2 linked regions of the Diceros bicornis minor genome follow. The protein of the gene in region 1 interacts with the protein of each later gene in a biochemical or structural test. Links are inferred from orthologs where the notes say so. Each region holds a gene or a part of one and is shown on either strand. Other genes may lie near its edges.

The links. The genes of interacting proteins can lie anywhere in the genome.
Region 2: the proteins of STK26 (region 1) and CAB39 are reported together in a solved structure, tested with the Homo sapiens proteins (2 studies listed by IntAct, with this or other methods). The link is inferred for Diceros bicornis minor from reciprocal best matches to the Homo sapiens genes STK26 and CAB39.

Annotation. Positions count from the first base shown.
Region 1 is NC_080781.1:120,366,641-120,373,916, forward strand, and holds the start of STK26 (serine/threonine-protein kinase 26), read left to right. Parts: upstream 1-4,271; 5' UTR 4,272-4,410; intron 4,411-4,509; 5' UTR 4,510-4,618; coding exon 4,619-4,660; intron 4,661-7,276. UniProt on the Homo sapiens protein: Serine/threonine-protein kinase that acts as a mediator of cell growth. Modulates apoptosis. In association with STK24 negatively regulates Golgi reorientation in polarized cell migration upon RHO activation.
Region 2 is NC_080776.1:19,251,032-19,258,625, forward strand, and holds the start of CAB39 (calcium-binding protein 39), read left to right. Parts: upstream 1-4,577; 5' UTR 4,578-4,827; intron 4,828-7,594. UniProt on the Homo sapiens protein: Component of a complex that binds and activates STK11/LKB1. In the complex, required to stabilize the interaction between CAB39/MO25 (CAB39/MO25alpha or CAB39L/MO25beta) and STK11/LKB1.

The DNA of each region.
Region 1 (7,276 bases):
ACCAATTGGTGAAGGCAAGAAGTAATGAGCTCGCTTCTTTTGGTACCAAAACGCAAATATTTCAAAGTGAGTAAGGGTATATGTAAAGAAATGTTATAAGCAGGAAACCACTTAAGCGGCATCTGCTTCGACCCACCTCCTCTGTTGCTCTATTCCTCTCAGTAGTGTCAGGAAGTAAAGTTAGTAAGAAAATTCAGCTGCGACGAGTCTTAGATACTAGTTTTTGTTATAAATGATACTATGGTAGAGTACTGTGCAAGCCCCAAAAGGTGCAAGGTTATTCAGGAGAATTAAGCAATTATACAGATTTAATGCTCCCTGACCGAGAATTGATTCCATAGGTTTTTCCTTGGGATGCTTTGCTGGAACAATAGCAAGGATACAACATCTGCAAGAACTATTATATCATGGTTTCCAAGAGAGAAACCAAGAGAGTAAAGAAGAGATTTGAGGTATCACATATGCTTTTATATATATATACGTATATACAAAAGACTCTTGAATGTTGTACTTCCAAATATCAGTACAGAGTCTGGTAGCTTGAATCAAAATATTCCTATCACTGGATGGTGAGCTTCTAGAATTACCCAGATAACTTCCTTTGGTTTCAAATATTCAGAGAATTGAAAGAAATTCAGATAATTGTATCCATTTGCCCTTACACTTCATACATTTTTACACTTTATACATTTCAATGTAGTTATTAGGCTCAAAACGTGAAAGTCCAAAATGTTAAACCCTACCTTTAAATTTTGTAAAGTGGGGTAAGAGGTCAAAGTTACCTCAATGAAGTAACATATTTGAAGGCTCCTAGGTATTGCCTGGTACATTAGAACATGCTACATGATTAAATTATTTTTTAGACAAATCATTAAATTTTTCTTAAAGTTATTTTATGATCGATATTATTTTTCATTAGGTAGTATTCACTCTTTCGAGGCAGATGATCTATGGTTTAATACAAGGTAATATAAAAATACTGTTTTGTTTCCAGTACCCCCGTGCTGTGGCCCAATGTCTTGTGAGGTTTTTTGGTGTTTTTTTTTTTTTTGGCCCTAGCCATCACATGGAACTGAAATCCTCAGGGAACAGTAATTCCCAAGTTTGTTTTTTGGTTAGTAACCTCTATTGCAAAGAGTATAGAGCATGGTTTCTCAAACTTTGGCACCCTTGACATTTTGGGCTGGGTAATCCCTCGTTGTGAGGGCTGTCTTGTGCATTGGAGTATGGTTAGCAGCATCCCTGGCTTCTACCCATTACCAGTAGCACCCTCTCCTCCCCATTTGTGACAACCAAAAATGTCTCCAGGAGTCAAAAATGACCCTGGTTGAGAACCATGGCCCTAATACATTATGTCACTTTTGCCTACATTAAAATTTAGCCATTTCTGCCTACTTACACTTTAGCTCTGAACCAGGCCATTCAGTAAATATTTATAAACACGGATAAAGGTAAATATTTAATATTGAGGGTATGACAAATGTAGGAAACTGAAACCACAGATTGTAAATTTAAATTATTAAGTTTGGTGGGGATCAAGGACACTGTCTAACTTGGAATTCACTGACTTCGCTTAATCTGTATACAATCTTACTTTATCTATATGGTTATTAAGTATTCATCACCACTCAGGTCACATCAATCAAGCAGGTACCAAATCCTATGTGAGGCACTATGTTACATTCTATGGGGCTGCCAAAGAGTGGAAGATGTGGTGTCTCCCCTCGAGGAACTTTTTCCATCAAGCTGTGGGAATATGTTGTAATATATTATTAGACTCTGGCCTGACATTTTGAAGTAAAATATTCAAGTGTCCTTGTTGAGGGGGAGTACCAAAGCACATCTGAATTTCTTATCATTTTATTAAAATTGAAAAATATATATATATGAAAAAGCATACGCAAACCACAAGGAACTCCATGTAAAAACTCAAGTGATCTCTATCAATAATAACACCACCAGATAGTTTATTTAATAACAGTAGGCCTAAACAAGGTCAAAAAGTTTACTAAGATCTTAAAGCAGTATTTTTAAGGAAATGTCTCAATAGTTCAGGTCTCAAAATTTAGCATTCAGTCTTCCACGTTCTTTCATAACTCTGGCCCAGAATGATGCCAGGGAAAGTGACTTCAAAGATATGCTTAATTTACTTATTTATTAAAATTACACAACTTGCTCTTAGGTGGTTGTGAAATCAAAGTAACTGGAAAGAATTTAGAAGACAAAAAAAGTGAAAGGTGTAACATATTATAAAGTTAACAATTTAAAGATTCAGCAAAAGCAGTGCCTAGGAGTTTAACCAGGCATCAATAAAACATACAGTGTACCCAGAGTGTGGCTAGCACTATACTAACCTCAGTGAAGAATTCAAAGGAAATCCCTTCATTCATTCACTCAACAAATAGCTAGTGAGGGATTATTATGTACCACACATTGTTCTAGGTTCTGAGGATACAGCAGTGAACAAAACAGACAAAAATCTTGCCCTCAGAGAGCTGACATCCTACCTGAATAATTCTTATGTAAGAAAAGCTGGATCTCTGGCCTCAAGCACCCAATAATCTTGTTGGGCAGAATAAACAAATGAAATGCACGAAATAAGAAAAAACTACAATGTGGGTGCAAGAGGAGAAGTTTGAAGGAGGGCTTGGAGCAATGAGGAAGGCTAAATCAAAATCTGCACTATGGACATTAAAGTTGCGTGGCACTGCAGGTTTCTGGTCAGGCTGGCATTGTTAAGTGTGAGCTGGGCTGGTGGAAAATAGAGACTGGGTTGAGGCCTATCACCAGGTTAGAAGTAGTGAGGGCCTGGACTTGGGGAATCGGGAATAAGGAAAATGCAATAATATCCTTTATCATCTGAATGGATAATGAAAATGTGGTGTATATACATACAATGGAATATTATTCAGCCATAAAAAAGGAAATTCTGCCATTTGTGACAGCATGGATGGACCTTGAGGGCATTATGCTAAGTGAAATAAGACCTGGGTTTGAATTCCCAGCTCTACCACTTCTTAATTGTGTGATATTTTCTTCCTGTGTAAAATGAGAGAAAAGCAATATGACCTCAGAGGGCCCTCGTAAAGATTCAATAAGATAACATACATATAGCACTTAGCAATCCCTGGGGCAAAGGAAATGGCATCCATTAATAATAACGATATTGATAACAGTAATATGCTATCTTTTGAGAAAGATTCAAAAGGAATAAGAGAAATATTTATTGAGCATCTACTAGAGCCCCAACACTGTGTTGGGTACAGACCTACAGCAACCTGCAAGGTAGGGAATTTCATCCTCATTTTAAACTGGCACTTGGATATTACATTTTAAAAACGTAATTAACCCCTTGCAGGTTCCCAAAGGTACCTTCATAATGCGATTCCCGTAATTACTATTATTATCGTTGTTACCGTTGTTATTATTAGGGTGCTCTCAAATGAGCTTGTCTCCCTCCTGGAGTGGAACTTAAAATGGAGTGGAGGCTGGGAGTTGCCGAAACCACTGCTGTGTATGCTGAGTTCAATAATATGGACTGCTAATGATCCGATCTCATTTCCCATGCCTCTATTATCCTCATTAATTTTTCTGCCGATATACCATCTGTTTTCCAATTTCCCTCTCTCTTACACGTGCAGAACTTGTGGTGAAGAGAAGCCCCAGTCTGGCCGTCCCCCACCAACTGATAGCCCCAGAGGTAGCCGTAGCCTCAGGTTTAAGTCACCTGAAGCACGTCTGGGGGCAAAGAATCCGGAAAACAGGAGAGTGGCTACGGATCCGCCCAGTGGCGCAGCCGCAGGCTGAGGAGACCGGACCGCGGGAATGAGCAGGGGTCCACTGACTCGGTGGCTCTCTGTGCCCCCACCCTCGACCAGATCAGGGAGCCAGGAAAGATTTCCAACACTCCCCAAGTTTCAGTTCAAGACGTCTCCTCCGAGGCTGCGTGTGCCCCAGCCTCGCACGCCTGCCTGCAACGTGGCCGCGTCTGGGACGCTCTCATACCCCCAGGGTCACCAAACTCTTTCATTCTCTCTCCAGGCCGAGCCGCGTTCCAGGTCCCGCAGTCCTCAGGGTCTCCTCTCCGTGTGCCGGGAGAGTGTCCCCCTTCGCAGGCTCCAGCAACTCCAGCCAAACCCCTTCACTGCGTGGAGCCTTAGCTCTCCTGACACCGCCCGGCTGCGGGGCGGGGGCAGGGCCAACGGCGGAACCGCCCCCAACCGCCTCCCGGGCCAGGCGAGCGGGCGGGTTGCTGGGGCGCCTCCACCTCCTCTTCCTAAAGCGGCGAGGCGCAGACAAGCGGCATCACTCGAGCCCAGGTCCCAGCCACCGCCACACACAGCGCCCCGCATTCAGGAGGAGGAGCAGCAGCGGCGGCGGCGGCAGCAGCGCCGGGCGGGCGCCAGAAAGGTAGACTGAGTCCCAGAGAACCGCGCCGCGAGCTGCCCACCTCCCAGTCTGGGCTACGCGCTACCAGCCCAGTAACCCCACTTCTGTGTGTCCTTCCAGGCCCCGGTCGAAAAGCCTGGGAGGGCCGCGGAGCTACCCCTGGAGGAGGAGCCAGTCCGAGCCCAAGGCGCCACCGCCGAAGAAGCAGTGTGGAGCAGCAGTCGCCTTCATGGCCCACTCGCCGGTGGCTGTCCAAGTGCCCGGGATGCAGGTGAGGAAGCCCAGGCCTCCCCCGCCGCCCACGTGACTGCCCGGGAGCCCGGTGCGCGCTCCGCGCTGGGCACCGGCGACGAGAGGCGGCCCCAGGGCTCCCCTCAAGGCAGGGCCGGGTGCTCTGGCCAGGTGTCCCAGGAAAAGGGCTCTAAGTTTTTCTTGGAGTTTAGGCTAGGTAGTGCACTGCGCGAGGAAGGCAGGGAGGGACTGGGGCGCGCAATGAGGTGGGGATGTGGGGGGGGGGGGGCTTATAAAAATAGGCCAGAGCGAGACACCTGCGCCTGCTGAGCGTGATACGGTTGGGGATTGGAGGTGGGAGGACTTAATTTTGGAGAGATGGAGGCGTCTCGGAATTTGTGGGGTAAAACGCAAGTCGTGCTGTCCTACCATACACACAAGTTGGGGCGGAGCAAGACAAGGGGGTGTCGGTGGCGGCGGCATTGAATTGGGCTCTTCCTGTGTGCGTAAAACGAAGAGCGAGGTGACTTCTTTTCCCCTTTTGGTGCTGCTTCTGAAGGGCAAAGTTGTATCTCGCTCCCCCAATGGCCCAGCCTATAGTATGGCGTGAGAAATGCAGGGTCCTAGGTCCGAGTCGCCGAGATGATGACTCCCCAGTCCCCTCCCGCTGCCTTTCCCACAAGATGACTGTTGAGTGTGCTTAAAGAAAGCTTTTTGTCCTGGACAAGGGACTACAGCATGGGACCCAACTTCTTACTCGAGATCTACCCAGCCCCCCATTATTTTTCATTTTATTAAAGAAGAAATAAGCTATGTCCATACATTTTTTATGCTATGTTTTTAAATCCGTGCATTTCAAGCTATCTACTAGATTTTATCCAAGTCTACACTACTTTTAAGCATTCACGTTTTATTTTTTTCCTTTGCTAGATAGCCTAAACAACCCATTTATGAATAGGTCAGAGGCTAGCAACACTAAAGCCTCCGTCCCTCATTATCTTCGAAAAATGTGAAAGCAAACTTTTTCCAAGTTCAGAAAAAAAATGTTTAGAGTAGTAAATAGACTGCTTATGTTTCTAGTAGAAATCAAAGTGCTGTGCATTGGGGCCTCAATTTACTAACTGATGCATGGAATTCATCCTTTTTTAGCAATTGGTCACATTTTATGCATGGTCACAAAAAAAAGTGATTTTTAAAATACCTTCCCAAACAAGGACCATTTGTGTCAGACATATATCAAACCTACGATTCCCGTGTGTACTAAGCACCAGGCCTTTTCGCTGAATGTAGGGCAAGTCTGTGTTGAGTCCCAGGAAGTCGGTGTGTATTTAATAAAGAAGAGAGGAAGAAAAGAGGAAATGAGAAATATTAGGGCTTTTTAAAAGGTTAATCCATTCAAGCTTTACGAAACGCTTCAAACTTGCTTCTAAGGCCACCCCCCATCCTTCCCTCCCTCTTTCCCTCATCCATCCTGCCCTACACTCCATTCATTCAGTCCTAACTTTGATTGTATCAAGAGAATTAGTAGTTTGCAATAATAACTACAGTTTTGCTCTGTCTGATGTGGAAGAAAGTGCGAAAAATTTCCCGCAGTGCTCTCTCTTCCATTATGTGGAGGGTAGAATGTTACAGATGTAAAGTTTGTCTCTAAGGGTCTCCATGCTTCTCTCTCCATTGTGTGCGCCCTCCTGCGTGCGTACGTGCCTGCGTCAGCAGGGTGAGTGCCTCCAGTTCATCAAGCTTGTGATTCTGGGGAACACTGTGTGCCGAGGAGAAAATGGTTTGTGGTCTTTATTCATTTCTCTTGACTTTATTTGATTTATATGGTTTCTGGTCCTTATTTGATTTGTCTTTATTTGATTGGTTTAGGAATTGCTTGCTGTTCAGTATTTCTTTTTGCCCCCTGCTTTGTTTAATTATCTGAGTTCACTATCTCTTGAATTTTTAAATCTTAATTAAGGTGGCTTAGAATGTGAATCACATATTTTAAATTACAAATTCTGCCTTTCAGTTTATGCCTTCCCAAAGTTGTGAATACTTTGTCCAACCTAATTTGGGGAGGGCTATCATTCAATATTAGCAAAGAAGAGAGGAATATTTATTTGTCACTTTCTCTGTCTTAATGAAATGGTAAATTCTTAACTTCTTATTTCCATTTTCTTTGTGGATGTGGTTCTTAAGCATTTTGTGCAACACAAAAGTTTTCCACAGTTAAAATTGTACAGTATCCTAAAAATAAATTTGATGGCATGCAGTGTGACTCCTGAGCCCAGACTACTTTTACTATTCTTTTGTTCAAAAATATTGCAGATGAGATGCAGAAATATACCATGAGCTTGTAAAGTTCTCCTACAGTTTTGTTAAAGAGTTAGGAGCAACTTTTAGACCTTTTGAGTAGTAAGAAAACTTGAGTTAGCCATGTGTTCCTGAAATTAATGTATAGTATTTCCACAAATCAGGGTGAAGTGGTCGACCGGCCTATAACTTTTTAACAGTTTATTTTAGAGAATTATGAAGATTGATGGAAAAAATGATTTTTCCAGAAATAAAAACAAAATTACTTTATTCACAGTGTTTTTCTCCCCCTGAGGAGAGACGTGAAGTACAAGCTGAGCTACCTGTTCTATCACTTAAGACTTCCAGCATTCCTGACTTT
Region 2 (7,594 bases), on another chromosome or scaffold:
GCATCTGCGTTGCCCAGGAGACGTCAGATACGGGGTGGGGTAAGCAAGGAAGCCATGAGTCAGGCTCCAAAGTCCTTTCATAGATGGTGTGATTAAGGCAGGGAGGTGCCTTCACTGAGGGCCCAGCTTCATCGGAGGAGAGGAAAGGAAATGAAAGTGAGGGAAGAGTTACAGGATTGACAGGATCAACACTGACTCCAGGATAATAACGACCCTGCCTTATGAACCTGAGCTCTGCAGACACTGCACAGGAGAGTGAGGGGCCTCTGGAGAGGGTTTCAAGATGAAGAGGTGGTGGAATTTCCCAGAAAGAGGTTGTACCTACAAAGAAATATATTAATAGAAAGGGCTTTCCAGAGAGCTCAGTGGAAGGATTGAGAAGGTGTCTTCCCAGTGTAAATTCAAGCGGGCAAATGACATGGCTCCTTCCACTTTGGCTTCGGAATTTGTTACAAATCCCTCTCCAGAAATTGGCTGCCACAATTCTCAACTGTAGTGGGCTTATCCCAGTGAAGAGATTAACCTGGAATCCTGCTCTGACCCTTAAAGCAAAGGACTCAAACTCCTGCATATAGGATTATCCACTTCCACGCGTTCTTTTATTCTGTGAGAAATTAGGTCCTGACTTGTTTTTGTGGAATATCAGCCCAATAAAGGCCTCCCCTTGGGACTACAATTAAAAAAAAAAAAAAAGCCGTGGGAGTGAAGTCTTATTGAACAAAGTTTCAAATTAGATAAAACTTGCAGTCGGCTCACTGGAGAGGGTGGTGCACCTCCCTCCCTTCCACAGTTTCTAGAGAGAAGCGAAGAGAAGCTCCACGAACCAGCCTGCTAGGGATTTTTCAGCTGATTTCCCTCCGAGCCGAAACAGTCCCTAGACAGCTATGTTTTTCTAATGGCTTCTGCCTGAGATAAATTGTCCTTGATTGGGATGGACTTCACTTTTAACACGCTGTTATTTTACTTCTATTTCATACTTTTTATTTAGGTTTTTCATATATATTCTCTAGCAAGATTAGTCTAGCTTTCTTTTTGTGTGTGTTGTATTTATTGAGGCTTTGGTATCATGGCCGTAACAAGAATAAGAATTATCAGCATCCCATCCGACTCCCAACTTGTTAGAAATGCAGAATCATGGGCCCTCCCCTGAACCAATGGAATCGACATCTGCATTTCAACAAGACCCCTGGTAACGCATATGGACATTACCGTTTGAGAAGACGCCCCAGATCTTGTCATTACTGTACACTGCTCCTTCCGTAATCTCAGTGTAAGCAACCCGGCTCTCAGCTAGCACCTCCTCCTTTCCAGCTCATTCTCCCTACGGTGCTGATTCTAACAATCCTTTCACACACGTTTCATTCCATTGATCCTATCACTTTTACAGGGTGTCTCCCCTCCTACTGCCCCCATACTCATCTGCATTTTCTCACTCCCTCCTTACTGGCTTGGACTCAACAGTTGGTCATTATTATTATTACTTCCTGTATATAACCCTCGCCTTCCTTTCCCCTTTCTCTCTCCATGGAGTTATCTAGCAGAAATAACCCTGGTTGCATCCAACTCCCCACCTTCCTGTGCCTGCACCTTCCCAGCAAAACGTGGCCAACAGAAAAACACAGAATAACCCCTCTGACTGGTCCTTCTTCACATCTCCTCTCCCCTCAAACTTCTGACACCTCCCCACCCTCCACACGAGGAGCTGATGACCTTGCTTTCTATTTCCCTGAGAAAACAGAAGCCTTCAGAAGGGAACATCCACATGTGCCAGCGCCTTGTCCAGCTGGCTGCCTGCCTCTGTGCCTACACTCTGCCTGCCCTCTATTACTGTGAGTGGACGCCGCCTTGCTGGTATCCAAGGCCAGCCCTTCCGCTGTGCGCGGCAACCTTTTCTTGCTCACTCAAGGACAGCTCCCCAGAAAATGCCCCCCCACCTGCATCATCAAATTTTCTCTCACTACTGAATCATTCCCATCAGCACTTAAGCCGGCTGTAATAGCTCCCATCCTAAAAGCAAAACAAAACGAAATAAAACAAAAAAATCAGCTTTGACCCCACATTCCCCTCCAGCTACCATCCCATTTCTGTGCTCCCCTGTAGAGCAAAACTTCAAGAAAAAGTTGTCTACACTCGTGGTGTCTCTTTCTAGAGCCCCATCCTTTCTAGAGATCTTTCTAGGTCTCATTCTTTCTAGAGATCACTCCAATCAGGCTTTCCTACCCATCCCTGCTGAAATAGCTTTTCCCCACACCACTGGTTACCTCTGTGGTGCTGACACCAACATCAACCTTCCTTGCATTACAGCCGCAATCGTGGCACTGATCCATGCTCCATCCCTGGTCGCCCAGCACACGATGCTCTCCTGGGTCTCCTTCTGCCACCCTCTGCTCAGAATCCTTCGCTGGTTCCTTGTCATCTCCCTGACCTCTCAGTGTCGGGGGCCTCGGCCTCGTCCTTGGCCTTGCCCTGTATTAACACTCTTTCTCTTAAATGATCTCATTGAGTCCTGAGATTTTACCTATTCTGAAGCCTCTCGAAATTCTCTCTTCAGCCTGGACCTCCCCTTCAAACCCCAGACTTCTAGATCCAGCTTCTTACTTGGGTGTCTAACAGGCAGCTCAAACTTGATATGCCCCCAAATAAATTCCCCAGTTCCTCCCTTCACATCTGTTTCTGTTTGTCTTCCCCACTTCACCAAATTGTATCTTCCAGTTGCTAGGGCAAAAAACCCAAAAACAAAAAAAAACTTAGAAATCAGCAAAATCCTGTCAGCTCTACCTTTGAAATGTGTCTAGCACCTGACCGCTTCTTTACACCTCCACGACTACCACCCTAGACCAAACCTGTCTTCTCTTGACAGGATTGTTTCAAAAGCCTTCAAACTGGTCTCCCAGCTGAAACCCTCAGGCCCTTCAGGCTGGTCTTCACACCAGGAGCAGCGTGATCCTTTTGAAATGTCAGACCACATCCTTTCTCTGCTCAAAACCCTCCAAATAGCTTCCCATCTCGTTCAGAGTAAAAACCAAAGTCTTCACTTTCGTCTATACGCTACCCACACCCCTCACCCCATCTCTACCGGCTCCCCTCACTCAGTGCTCTCGCCTTGATGCGCTCCACTGCGCCCCTCAAGCTTCCACAGCACATTCCCACCTCAAAAGCTTGGTCCTTGCTGTTCCCTCTGCCTTTCCACGCACGCAGCTCTCAGCATGCTCTTTCTTGTTGTAGCTGCTCCCTGTGGGAGGACTATAAATAGATACCCTGCACTCTCTCCCCTCCTTAGCCTGTGTTGTTTTTCTCCATCGCACTTAAGACCATCCAGTATCATAATGTGTATTGGTTTGTTTAGTTGGTTGTCTCAGGAGCAGGGACAGTTTCGTTCACTGCCCCACCACCTAGAATAGTGCCTGGCACACAGTGGATACTGAAAATACCTGTTCAATTACCAATTAAAAACAAAGAAACAAAAATATACATGTATGGCATTTTTATGTACCAGTCTCTTGTCAGAGCCTTGCAATGCATTATCTCCTTCATTCTCATAAGCCTATGGTGCTCTATTATTATTACACTTGCGTGTGTGTGAAGGAACCCGGGCACAGGGACATGAAATAGGCCATGGATACTAAATGATGGAGCTGGGATTTATTTATTTTTTTAAATAACATATGTTTTATTTCTTCAGCTGTTATTTTTGTGAGTGTGTGAGGAAGATCAGCCCTGAGCTAACATCCATGTCTATCCTCCTCTTTTTTGCTGAGGAAGACCGACTCTGAGCTAACATCTATTACCAATCCTTCTCCTTTTTTTCCGTTTTCCTCCCCAAAGCCCCAGTAGATAGTTGTATGTCATAGTTGCACATCCTTCTAGTTGCTGTGTGTGGGATGCGGCCTCAGCATGGCCAGACAAGCGGTGCGGTGCGACCGTGCGCGCCCGGGATCCGAACCAGGGCCGCCAGTAGCGGAGCGCGCTCACTTAACCGCTAAGCCACGGGCCGGCCCCTGGAGCTGGGACTTAAATCCAGGCTGTTGAGTCCTATTAATCTGGATCATTCCATCACTTTCCACGCAGGAGAGGATGCTACAGAGGATGCTCAAGTGAGAGTTAAGTCCATCGAAAGTACGAAACAGTCGTCTACACCAAGTCAGCTCCTGGCCTTTAGCAGAAATAAAGCTTTGTTAAGAGTTGAGGAAGTGGTCGTAGAAAGCGGGCGAGGGATTCCGCCAGGACGAGTGCTTAGACAGACGAGAAAGGGCTGAGCACCGACATTTAAGAGGCAGATGACAGAAGAGGAACTCTCGCCCTGGCTTCTGCTTTTCTCTGCGTCCGCTCTCGCTTGGGCCTGGGCGCGGACTCCGGCGCTGAGTCCGCCCGGCCGCCCGGGGGCGCCCGAGGCCGAGGGGGGCGTTGCGGCGCCGCCCGACGTCGCGCCCTCGGCGGCTGCGCAGTGCGCACGTCAAAGCCGGGCTCGGGCCGCGAGCGGGGAGCGGCGCGGCCTGGGGGAGACCGAGCGTCCAGGAGCCGGGGAAGGCGAGGGGGCTAAGGCGGCGCCGGGCCCCGCAGCAGCAGGCGCAGCCGCAGCCCGAGCGCGCGAGCGCGAGCAGCAGTGCGGCGGCCCTCGCGGGAGCCCCTGGGCCGCCGTCCGCCCGCGCAGCCGCCGCCGCCGCCGCGGGAGCCCGTCGCCCGGAGCAGGAGCGGGCGGAAGACGACGGAGGGGCCGAGCGCCCGAGCCGCGCCGCGGGGACCGAGCGCGCAGCCCGAGGCGGCGGCGGCCGAGGACGGGGACGGCGACGACGCGGAGGCGGAGAGGGAGCCGCCCGGCCGAGCCCCGTGAGTGACCCCGGCCCTGCTCGCGGCGCGGACGCTGCCCGGCTTCCGCCTGCCCTGCCCTGCCCGGCCCGTCACCGGCCCCGGGGTGCCTCCATTTTCTCGGGCCTGCCCTGCCCGGCGGCCCGGGCCCCTCCGCAGCCTCCCCTGCCCTCGCCGGCGCGGCGCCCGGGGGCCTGCGGCCGGGGCTCCGCGCGGCGCGGGGGCGTCCCCGGCCGGCTTCGGGAGGGCAGGGACGTGCGGGCCGGGCCAGCTGTCACTCCTACCGCACCCAGGCCCGGCCGCCCCGCTCCCGGCCCCGGGGCAACTTCCTGTTCCCGGGAGGCAGATCGCATCTCTGTGATCCTCGTTTCGGGAAAATGCCTAACCGATTTCCGGTCGGGAACGGCGCGGCCGGAGCGTCCCCGAGTTCGGTTGAGCCACCTCGAGCGCCGACTGCGTGCTGGCGCCCCGGTCGGTCCGCGCCCGAGGGATTCAAAGGTGAAGCGGGGCCCGCGGTCCCCTCCCCCGAGGAGCTACCGCTCTGGTGTGGGAGATAAGAGGAGTAGCACACAAATAATACGATACCAGGAAGGAGGTGATAAGTCCCGTGAAAGAACTGCAAGGTGCTAGGAAGGCACCCAGGGAAGACACGACCCATCGATCACTTCCGCCCAGCAGAAATCTGGAAGGCTTCCTGGGCGAGGCGGTGCCAAGCAGGGTCTTGAAGGCCCCATGGGATTTGGGAGAGGAGGGTTGCAGAAGAGACGATGTGTGGAGGGGCAGCAAAGCTAGAGGACAAAGGTAAAAAGACGTAGTCTAGCAATAGTGAATAATTCAGTTTGTTGCCTAGGGCCGTGGTGGGGGAGTGGGGATGGGCTAAAGAGGTATTTGGGGGCCAGATCCTTGAATGCTGTAGAGGAGCTGTTTGAGTGCCATTCTGAGGGAAACTTAGAGCTCGTTTCTGAGTGACTCATGAGTCCGGAAATGTAAGCTAGGGGATGTTAAAGGCGCTCTTGTGAAAGAAAAGAGAGGAGCCCAGGAAGGAGTTGACGTTCTGTGCCTTGAATATAATGCACTTTGAGATCGATTTTGACAGCTTCCCGGATATTCAAATAAATCCATGTCCAGACTAAGCAAAGTACCTTTTGCAAAAAGCTTCATTAGATGTTAGGCTCTTAAGAGTTAATGGAAAGATGTGAATAAAATAAGCTCGTGTGCGCATGAGGCGTTTCTGTTGGTGCAGTTCACTAAAATGCACCAAAACTTCTTGCGCTGTGTATTAGGTGTCTACACTTCAGGATTACTGAGCTGAACATAACTTCTTTGAGATGGCCTTTGTGTAAACCAATCTAAATTGATGATTTTAAGAAATCAGATTGTTACTAATCTGAGATTGAAAATTGGACATAGAACCCTTTTATAGAAAGGTAAAAATTTCTTGGAGTTTTTAGTTATGAAAATATTTATAGGAGAGCCAGAAGTGAGTCTTTAGCTTTATTTTGTACATTTTTTCTAATTAGTAGCAAATAATTAGCAGCTGTATTTGAAGTCTAGGGTATATGATTTATGGGAGCAGCTTAGAACGTTTGTTGGTTTCCTTTTCAGTCTTTTTTTTCTTTACATGATGAAATAAACTGCATATGTGTAAAAAACTTTTATTAAGCTTTTCTTTTTTGGTCATTAAATGTCTTCATATAAAAATATTTTTACTCAAGTAAGGGAAGTCTTAAATGTATTATTTTTTTTGGACAAGGTTGCATTATTTACCTCAGATAAAATGCAGTAGTCATGCTTAATAACTGCTACTGTGGACAGAACTTGTTATAAAGGCTTCTTGTTTGAAGTGTATTTATTAACTTCTTTGTAAGATTTGAGTCCTATTGCTTGTTGACTAGAGAAAGGTTTTATTACTAGGGGTGCGTGCTGTCATCAGGTATGGGAGAGATCTCACATCTCTGCTATATGAGTGGATGTACTTTTAAAAAGGCATTATAAAAAGATTACTTTCATAGCTGGTATAATCTCCCATACAGTAATGCACCTCACTTTCCCTTTTCACCCCCCCCCCCGAAAAAAATAGTCTTTATGCTAGGGCCATCCACTTTTTGATCATGACATCACAAAGATTCAGGCTAGATGTATTTAGTTTTTCTATTGGTATTTCTTTAGTAAAATATAGAATTTATCATGAAATAATTTGCTGCTATAACAAAAGGGGCTTTTATGTTTTTTGATTCAAAGCAGTTCACTAGCATTTCATTATTAGTTCATTAGCATTTCAGATTGCAGGTTTTTGTTTAAACCAGTTTTTTCCCTGGTGCTTTACATTTTAAAATGTATTAATGAGGTCTCTGTTTCTCTTTCTAATGGCGTATAAAGTGAGAAGCTGAGTTAGACTGTATAAATTTTCATAAAGTTAATATAAAAGAATAGCTAAGAAAGTCCAGTTTAAGTATGGGGTTTGGTTTTATAATTTGGTTTTATTTAAATCTTTATTTGTATATTGCAAGTATGTATACCACAAAGCATCGTTTATTACTTTTGAATATTTACTAAAGTGTTTTCTTTTGATCAACTTTTGTAGGTTATAGATTTCTATCATCACTGCCTTTTTTCCAGGAGGGATTGATCACTGATCATTCACAGTTTTGCCATCTGTCATAAAAATACAGACATACATCCGGATCGTGCCCCCCCCCCCCGCCTCCACCCCCCCAACACCATGCAAAAATAAAATCCAATATAGGGCCGAATTTCATTTCAGGTAGTGTCTTCTGGTTACTTTTCT